Linked DNA regions of Oryzias latipes. The protein of the gene in region 1 purifies or fractionates together with the protein of each later gene. This does not show direct contact. Links are inferred from orthologs where the notes say so. Each region holds a gene or a part of one and is shown in the gene's direction. Other genes may lie near its edges. The genes, in order: pard6b and llgl2.

Region 1 (3,857 bases):
AGACGGCGTCGGGTAATTTCTGGATGGCAGCTTGTTGTTTTTGTGTTTTTCTGAAGAAAAAGCACCTTTAGTATGTTCATGATTACGAGCGATGCCTCAGGTTTAAAGACGAGATGATGCAAAAGAAATCTGGCGTGGGTAATACTTTGATCTGAAAGTTTTTAATGGAAAATTAATCATTTGTTTCTTTCCTCTTCCTCCTTTTGTCTTTCTTCTCTTCTGTTCTTCCTCTTGGGTTTTGCAGAAGAAGCTGAAAACACGTTTGCTACAGACCCGCTGACCAGGAAGAAGAACACGGTCCTTTCTGCGGTTCTTCTGAGGCCGGACGCCACCAGGAAGAAGCACCCGGTGATCATCAGCCTCCCGAAAGACTTCCGCCCGGTGTCGTCCATCATCGACGTGGACATCCTTCCGGAGACGCACAGACGCGTGCGCCTGTACAAGCACGGCCAGGAGAAGCCGCTGGGTTTCTACATCCGCGACGGCTCCAGCGTGCGGGTCACTCCGCAGGGTCTGGAGAAGGTCCCGGCCATATTCATCTCCCGCCTGGTTCCTGGCGGGCTGGCGGAGAGCACCGGCCTGCTGGCGGTAAACGATGAGGTCCTGGAGGTGAACGGCATCGAGGTGGCCGGCAAATCTCTGGATCAGGTGACGGACATGATGATCGCGAACAGCCACAACCTCATCATTACAGTGAAGCCCGCCAACCAGAGGAACAATGTCGTTCGGAGCGGAGGGGGCGGGGCTGCATCTGGTAGTTCAGGGCGGTCGTCGGACAGCGGCGCCAGCTGCTACGGCTACTCCACGCACGGCGCCACGGCCTCCATGCCTTCACACATCATCCAGAACTTCTCCGCTGGGGAGCTGGAAAGCGACGAAGACGAAGAAGACCTGGTGATCGAGGCTGGCGGCGAGGCCGAGCCCATCAGACGCACCTCCTCCACATACAGCATGCCCTCTATGCCTCGCTACGAACCACACCTCAACCTCCGCACCGCCTTCACTTCCGCCTCCGCCTTCTCCATCCACACCAACGGGACTCTGCCCGCCAGCAACAGCAGCGGATCGCTGAATCACGCCGACGCCAATTCAGCCACGCCGTCGCCAGACAGGGTCAGGCGGAGCCTGGAGGAGGAGGGCACCGTAATAACGCTGTAGCCTCAGCACTGACTGAACTGTCCTGGGAAGGAAACACTCAGGGGGGGGGGGGTAAGGCATCACAGACCAGAAAATAAAACCCCCCTTTGCCCCCGTCAGGCAGCGACTGTTCCAGAGAAACACTAGCGTCACACCGACACCTCCATGCAGAAACGTGAAGGAAAACACTACACTTCTCTACATGCCAATGATCATGCATGTGTGCCAAAGAGGTGACACCCCCTCCGCACCCCCAGCTCCATAGAAATGTGAAAGAAGAAACACAAAAGTCTAGTTTAGCCCCCAGAAGCAGTTATTTTCTCAGTAGTTTTGTTTTTGTTAGCCAGCTCCTTTTTTCTCTGGTAACCCCCCACCCCACCCCCCACCTGTAGCTTTACAGCATAAATAGTTCTATTCAAATCTACTTAAGTCGGTGACATGTCAGTCAACCAAATCTTCAGTTCTACTGCTTTTAGGAAACGCTCGCTCTGCGACGCTTTTAGACGAATCTTTGTACCTCTCTGTAAAACGGACGGACCCACTAAGATGGCTTTTTTTAATGACAAAGCTTTAGTTCAGCCGGTACTGAGATTGCATTTTTAAAATTCAGAAACTGACAAATGTCTGCAAATGTGACTCCTGCACATTTTCTACAAAACCTGTCGCGATGTTTAGCATTTCTGCCCTCATTTCTTTCTGGACCACGTTTTAATGTGTTTCTTAATTTAATTTTATGCTGCATTTAAAGTCCCACTCCGATCATCTTGTCATCTATGTTCAAAGCGATCCCATTGGTCCTTTAAGTATAATTATGCAGTTTTTAGTCAAAATTGGTTAAGAAATTGTGTCGTTTTGTAGGACATAGTTTCTGCAGAGCGGCAGGAGTTCATTAGAAATTCAGCCCAGAGTTGTGGGTAGGATTTTTGGTGCAGAGCAACACCGCCCCCCTTTCCATCCCCATTGCTAAGCAGAGCAGGGAGCTCGTGGCTTGGAAATGCAATGTTAAGCTTAATTTTCTTTATATATTTGTCCTCCATACTTAGAAAAATGGCACAAGAATGTGTCAAAAACACGATTTGCATGGGACTTGAATGTTTTCAATACCTGTTTGCCTATGGAAAGTTTTATTCTCCAACATGCTTCTGTTAGAGCTCTATTCTGAGCGAATGACTTGCATTAAAACACCCACATTAATATTTATTTTAGTTGGTCATTTGACGCAGTGAGTCCCTGAAAACACACCCTGAGAAGCAAACACACATCCAGCCACACAAAATAATAACATTTCCATGTTTGTTAAAGGTGAGGCGGAGCCGTTTGCTCTCACCTGTGCTTTGCTGTCATTGGCTGTTCATTAAGTTCTTAATCATGAAGCAGATTCATTTATCAGAAGACCTTTTGCACATTGCTGCCAACTGCTTTGCAGGTGTCTTTGTTTTGTTTGTACCTGTTTATTTTTAGCACACCTTTGCTCTGAAGTGCTAAGTTCCATTGAAAGACATTCAGAGTTGTGTAAACACGCTAACGGTAGGAATGTCTGCGTTTGTAGGGAAACAATAATCATCTATAGATGAATCCATATTATCCGTACGACACTCTCTTTAGCCACAAGCTCAGTGCTGAAGCGAACTGTCCTGTTTGGATTTGGGAGCAAAAGCTGGTGGGTCTTCTTTCATTGCCAGCGTTCATCTAAATCTTTTACTAATCACTGTAATTTATTTACTGCATATCTAACTTCATCACGTGGCACTGGAATTGTAACCACAGCAACAGTTTTATTTATTCCACTATTTTTTGTCTGCTTTATTATTATTTTTTTTACAACAAAATCTTTTTCTGTGTATTCATGATTTTTCCCAAGGTACGATAGATTCCTTTAACCATTTACGCTCATTTAACTGGGTGATTTCAAGGCTTTTGTAAGGTATCAGATCTGTTGCTATTTTTTGATACTGTGAATTCTATTGGGGGGGGGGGGGGGGGATTAGCAACCTCAACATAGACAAATGTTTTAGACTGATTTTTGTTTTAATAATGGAGCAATGACTTTTGCTTGCCTGTTGAATCCTATGATATAGATTTGTAATGAATGTCAGTATTTTCATATCAATGCTGCATATGTTTTTATCACTATAAATAAGATGTACACACACAAACCAACAGGTGTAACTGCTGATGGTGGAGCTGGAAAAATAAACTAATATGTAGCAATATTTGCTGTTAAGTGTCGGTTGTATTTATGGGTAGCTGTGATGTTCAAAGTAGTTTGTTTTTTAAAGAAATGTGGGGGGAAACTGCAGATATCGTTTAATTAATTCTCATCATGGAGTTTGGCGCCATCTACTGGCTAAACGAAGTACTGATGGAAACCGGAAGTGCAGTCTACTACTCAAAATGTTAAAAATTAATTATATTTGTTTAATATGTAAATAAATTAACTTGAATTCTAGTCTATGGTTTATTTTAGGCGAGCTGTGAAGCCTAAAGTTTTCATTTCCAAGTGTGTGAGTTTTTGTCGAGACAGCTGAATGTCACGTGACGTGACGTCTAACCAGCATGGCGACGCTGAGCTGAGACAGGAACCCTGCTGGACACTGCGAGCCTGCCGTTCGTTAGCTTTCCTCGTCACCTGCAGCCGCGGGTCCTGGCGGAACATGACGGCCTGAGAGACCGAGCGATGCAGCAACCGCGGCCCCCGCAGCAGCACTCGCAGTCTGAGG
Region 2 (3,824 bases), on another chromosome or scaffold:
CGACAACATGAACCACAGCACAGAGGGAGAGTGGCCTCCCTTCAGGAAGGTGAGTCCAGCTCTCACCTAGTAGAGTAGCCTAAAGGTCCTACACAACCTTAAATGAAATGTTGGTAAAATAAGGCTCTGAAAATTCTGAAATTCCTGGTCTGAATTTTTGTTTTGTCTTCACAATCTAATCTCCTGTCTGTCACCAGAGAGGAATTCTTGTGGTTTTAAAATATTAGCTGTGGTTAAATGTGTTATGTAGATGCTTTGAAGTTGTTTTGGTTATACTTGAGTGATACATTTTCTGCAACAATGATGTTTTTCCAGTTTGAGCAGTGTGACACTCACGGGTTTATACTTTTGTTTGAGTTGGCTCATTAGTATAAAAGGTATTATTATGTTAATTCATCACAAAAAACAACCCCAAAATGGAATTTTGATCCATTCACGCATCTCTGAGCATTCCTCTAAAACCCTGCTCTCTGAGCCCCTGCCCCTTGCAATCCACGATAATGAGTAACTTAACAAATTGGGGAACAGCTCCCTTCCAGAAAAAGTCTATGCTGCCAGCCCCGCCCCCTGACTAACACACACCCACTTTCTCTGCTGGGAAAATGATCTGTTTTATATGCACAATATGCACATGGACATCCATCTTTGCAAAAGTGTGGATGTTCTTTGTTTTCATGGGCGAAACGCAGACACACTACTGAGGCCGGGTCTAGGCAGGTTCTAGGAAACGGGGGGGCACCCACAAGGAGCGAAAGGCGGTGCCTCCGAGATTGAGCTATCCTACTTCCTGGTTGGAAAATTAGCTCACAAAAATAACTTGTTTCATTAAAAAATTGTTCTGTAGTGTCCCAAAGTTCTTTAGTTCTTTAGTGTGCCAATATTAGCAAATATATGGATATACTTTACTCTGAACGTTTAAAGAATTTAAATGACATAGGTCCTTCAGCGTAAAGTAGGGAGGAGGGGGAGTCTTCTGCTCAGATTTGGTTTGGGGTTTCCAGAGTTCTCTGAGCCAATGTCGGTCCCATTCTTGTACCTGTAGATCTCTGTGGATTTCGGCTTGTTTGTCATTCCCCTAGTTTTTCTTGCACTGAGTGAAATTGTGAATCTCAGCTGTGTGTGCTTGCTCACTGTCGAGTTTGAATCAGAATATTTTGTTCATTCTCAATATATCTATAAATCCATCAGTTGGGAAGTATTGAGACTTTGTAATTCACGATCATGATGCTTATATTGGTCATTGGAACCTCCAGCAGAGTTTTTTTCCTGCTAAGCTGGTTCTGCTCAATTCCTGCATTAACTTCCCTTCTCTTTCCAGGTGGGCTGTTTTGACCCGTACAGCGATGACCCAAGGCTCGGCATTCAAAAGATCCACCTGTGTAAATACAGTGGTTATCTGACTGTAGCTGGCACCGCGGGACAGGTGACTGCAACATGCAGCGCTGCAGAACTTTGTACTGCAGCCTTCACTATTCACTTCAATTCAATTCAACTTTTTTTGTATAGCACTTTTCCTGCTTGAGCATCTTAAAGTGCTTCCCATAATAAAATAGATATATGTAAAATAAAAAAATAGTAAACAGTAAAAATACTACTACTACTACTACTACTACTACTACTACTACTACTACTACTACTACTAATACTATTAATAAAATAAATATATAAAAACACATTTAAAAAAACAACACATACACATCCCACCAGTACAATCAAAATAAATCGAATTAATTGTTAATAAGGTTTTATGAAATCAAATGTGGACAAGTAAAAACTTTGCTAAAAAAGATGCCTTTTTTCTTAAAAACAGTTTATTATTTGTATAGCACTTTTTAAGCAGAAGCATCCAAAGTGCTTAACATAAAATCATAAAATCAGAGACGATATGATACAAATGATATGATGAAACCCTCCACAGTGGATAAAGCCCTTGCGTCCTCATGCAGGCTGTTCCACAGGCGAGGCCTACAGTGCTGAAATGAGGCCTTCTTGTGGGTTCTGACCTTTGGGACCACCAGCAGACCTCCACCTGCAAATGAGGGCTCTGGGAGATTCATAAACCTAAATTAGATCTAATAAAAATACGTGGCCAGTGCCAGTCAAACCTTTGCAAACTAATAGAAGAACCTTTAAATTTATCCTAAAGCTGACTGGGAGCCAGTGCAAAGATTTCAAAATCGGTACGATGCTCTCCTTCTTTTTGGTTCTAGTTAGAAGGCGTGCAGCCGAGTTTTGTACTAGCTGCAGCTGATTGATAGTATTTTTATTAATACCAAAAAGAAGAGCATTTCAAAAATCTATTCTAGTTGTTATAAAAGCATGGATTAATATTTCAGCACTGGCTTTGGACAGAGAGGGTCTCACTCAGGCAATATTTCTAAGATGATAAAAGGCAGTCTTTGTAAATTGGTTTGTGTGTGCTTCAGAGGTAAGATCTGCATTTAAAACCACACAGAGGATTCTGACTTTACTGCACACATTCAGATAAAAGTTGATAAGTAGGATTGGACCCTTTCTCTCTCAGCCTCAGGACCAACAATTAAAATGTCTCTTTTGTCTTGATTGAGCTTTAATAGTTCTCTCCAATCCATGTTTCAATATCTAAAACACAACTTAAAAGATAATCAATGGGTCCCAGGTCATCAGGAGACACAGCCACATATAACTGGTTGCCATCAGCACAACTATGAATGTTTATGCGATATCTCATGATGACATTTCCAAGCGAAAGCATATAATAAAGGTTAAAAAGTGTAGGGCCAAGGAATGAACCTTGTGGCACATCACATGTCAGTCCGTGCCTCCCAGATGACACATCATTTACTCTGACATTAAAATCTGAGAACTGTTCCAGTGTTTCCAACCACGTCATGGAGTCTGTTTAAAAGAACTGAGTAATCAACTGTGTCGAAGGCTGCACTCAGGTCCAGCAATACTAAAACTGATGTTTTCTTTCTGTCAGTGTTGGACCTGGGATCATTCCTAACCTTAACCAGCGCCGTTTCTGTGGAGTGATGTGGTCTAAAACCAGACTGAAATTTTCATCAAATATTATTTTTATTATTAAAATCATTTAGCTGAATAAAAACGAGTTTTCCTAGCATTTTACTTAAAAATGGCAGGTTTGACACTGGTCAGTAATTGACTAGATTTGAAACATCTAAACCGCTCTTCTTCAGGGTGGATCTCACCATAGCAGTCTTTAAGGACGTGGGGAAGATCCCAGTCTGGAGAGAGTAGTTAACGATATTCACGAGCTCCTCCTCACAGGACGAACACACTGACTTAAAAAGTGAGGTGAGGAGAGGATCAAGAGAACAGGTTTTAGTTTTAAATTGGGAAATCACTTTCAGAAGCTTTGTAGCATCAATCAAGGCAAAACTCTAAGTTTGTTATTGAAATTTTGGACAGATGAATCAACAGATGAACTTAGTAGAGTATTTGGTTGGTTGTGTTCCAAATGTGAGTTGAAGTTCGCAGCCACTTCAGGGTGGAGACAACGCCTTCTAACAATTATCTTTGGAAGTTTCTGTGTGACAAGACCAGTAACAGTTGAAAACCTGCACGACTGATCTGAGAAACCAACATCCATAACTGAGGTCACAGTTGTGGATTCACATGAATAATGATTAGGAGGATGGCCCTGAAGTGAGATTAATGGTCTTTTGTTGCAGATCATGGTTCTGGAGCTGAATGATGAAGCTGCAGAGCAAACGGTGGAGGCTCAGGTTGTAGATTTGCTGCAGGGTCAAGAGGGCTTTCGCTGGAAGGTAAAGATCTCATACAACGTAAACCTACCTGAGTCCGAGAAGGAGCTAGAACAC

Evidence for each region.
Region 2: the proteins of pard6b (region 1) and llgl2 purify together in Homo sapiens (affinity purification with mass spectrometry; 7 studies listed by BioGRID and IntAct, counting the BioPlex papers as one, with this or other methods). This does not show direct contact. The link is inferred for Oryzias latipes from reciprocal best matches to the Homo sapiens genes PARD6B and LLGL2.

The regions. Positions count from the first base shown.
Region 1 is NC_019865.2:4,497,246-4,501,102, reverse strand, and holds the end of pard6b (partitioning defective 6 homolog beta), read left to right. Parts: intron 1-244; coding exon 245-1,158; 3' UTR 1,159-3,350; downstream 3,351-3,857. Other genes in the region: arfgef2 (brefeldin A-inhibited guanine nucleotide-exchange protein 2), read left to right, coding at 3,815-3,857. UniProt on the Homo sapiens protein: Adapter protein involved in asymmetrical cell division and cell polarization processes. Probably involved in formation of epithelial tight junctions.
Region 2 is NC_019877.2:17,343,074-17,346,897, reverse strand, and holds part of llgl2 (lethal(2) giant larvae protein homolog 2), read left to right. Parts: coding exon 1-49; intron 50-1,318; coding exon 1,319-1,423; intron 1,424-3,674; coding exon 3,675-3,770; intron 3,771-3,824. UniProt on the Homo sapiens protein: Part of a complex with GPSM2/LGN, PRKCI/aPKC and PARD6B/Par-6, which may ensure the correct organization and orientation of bipolar spindles for normal cell division.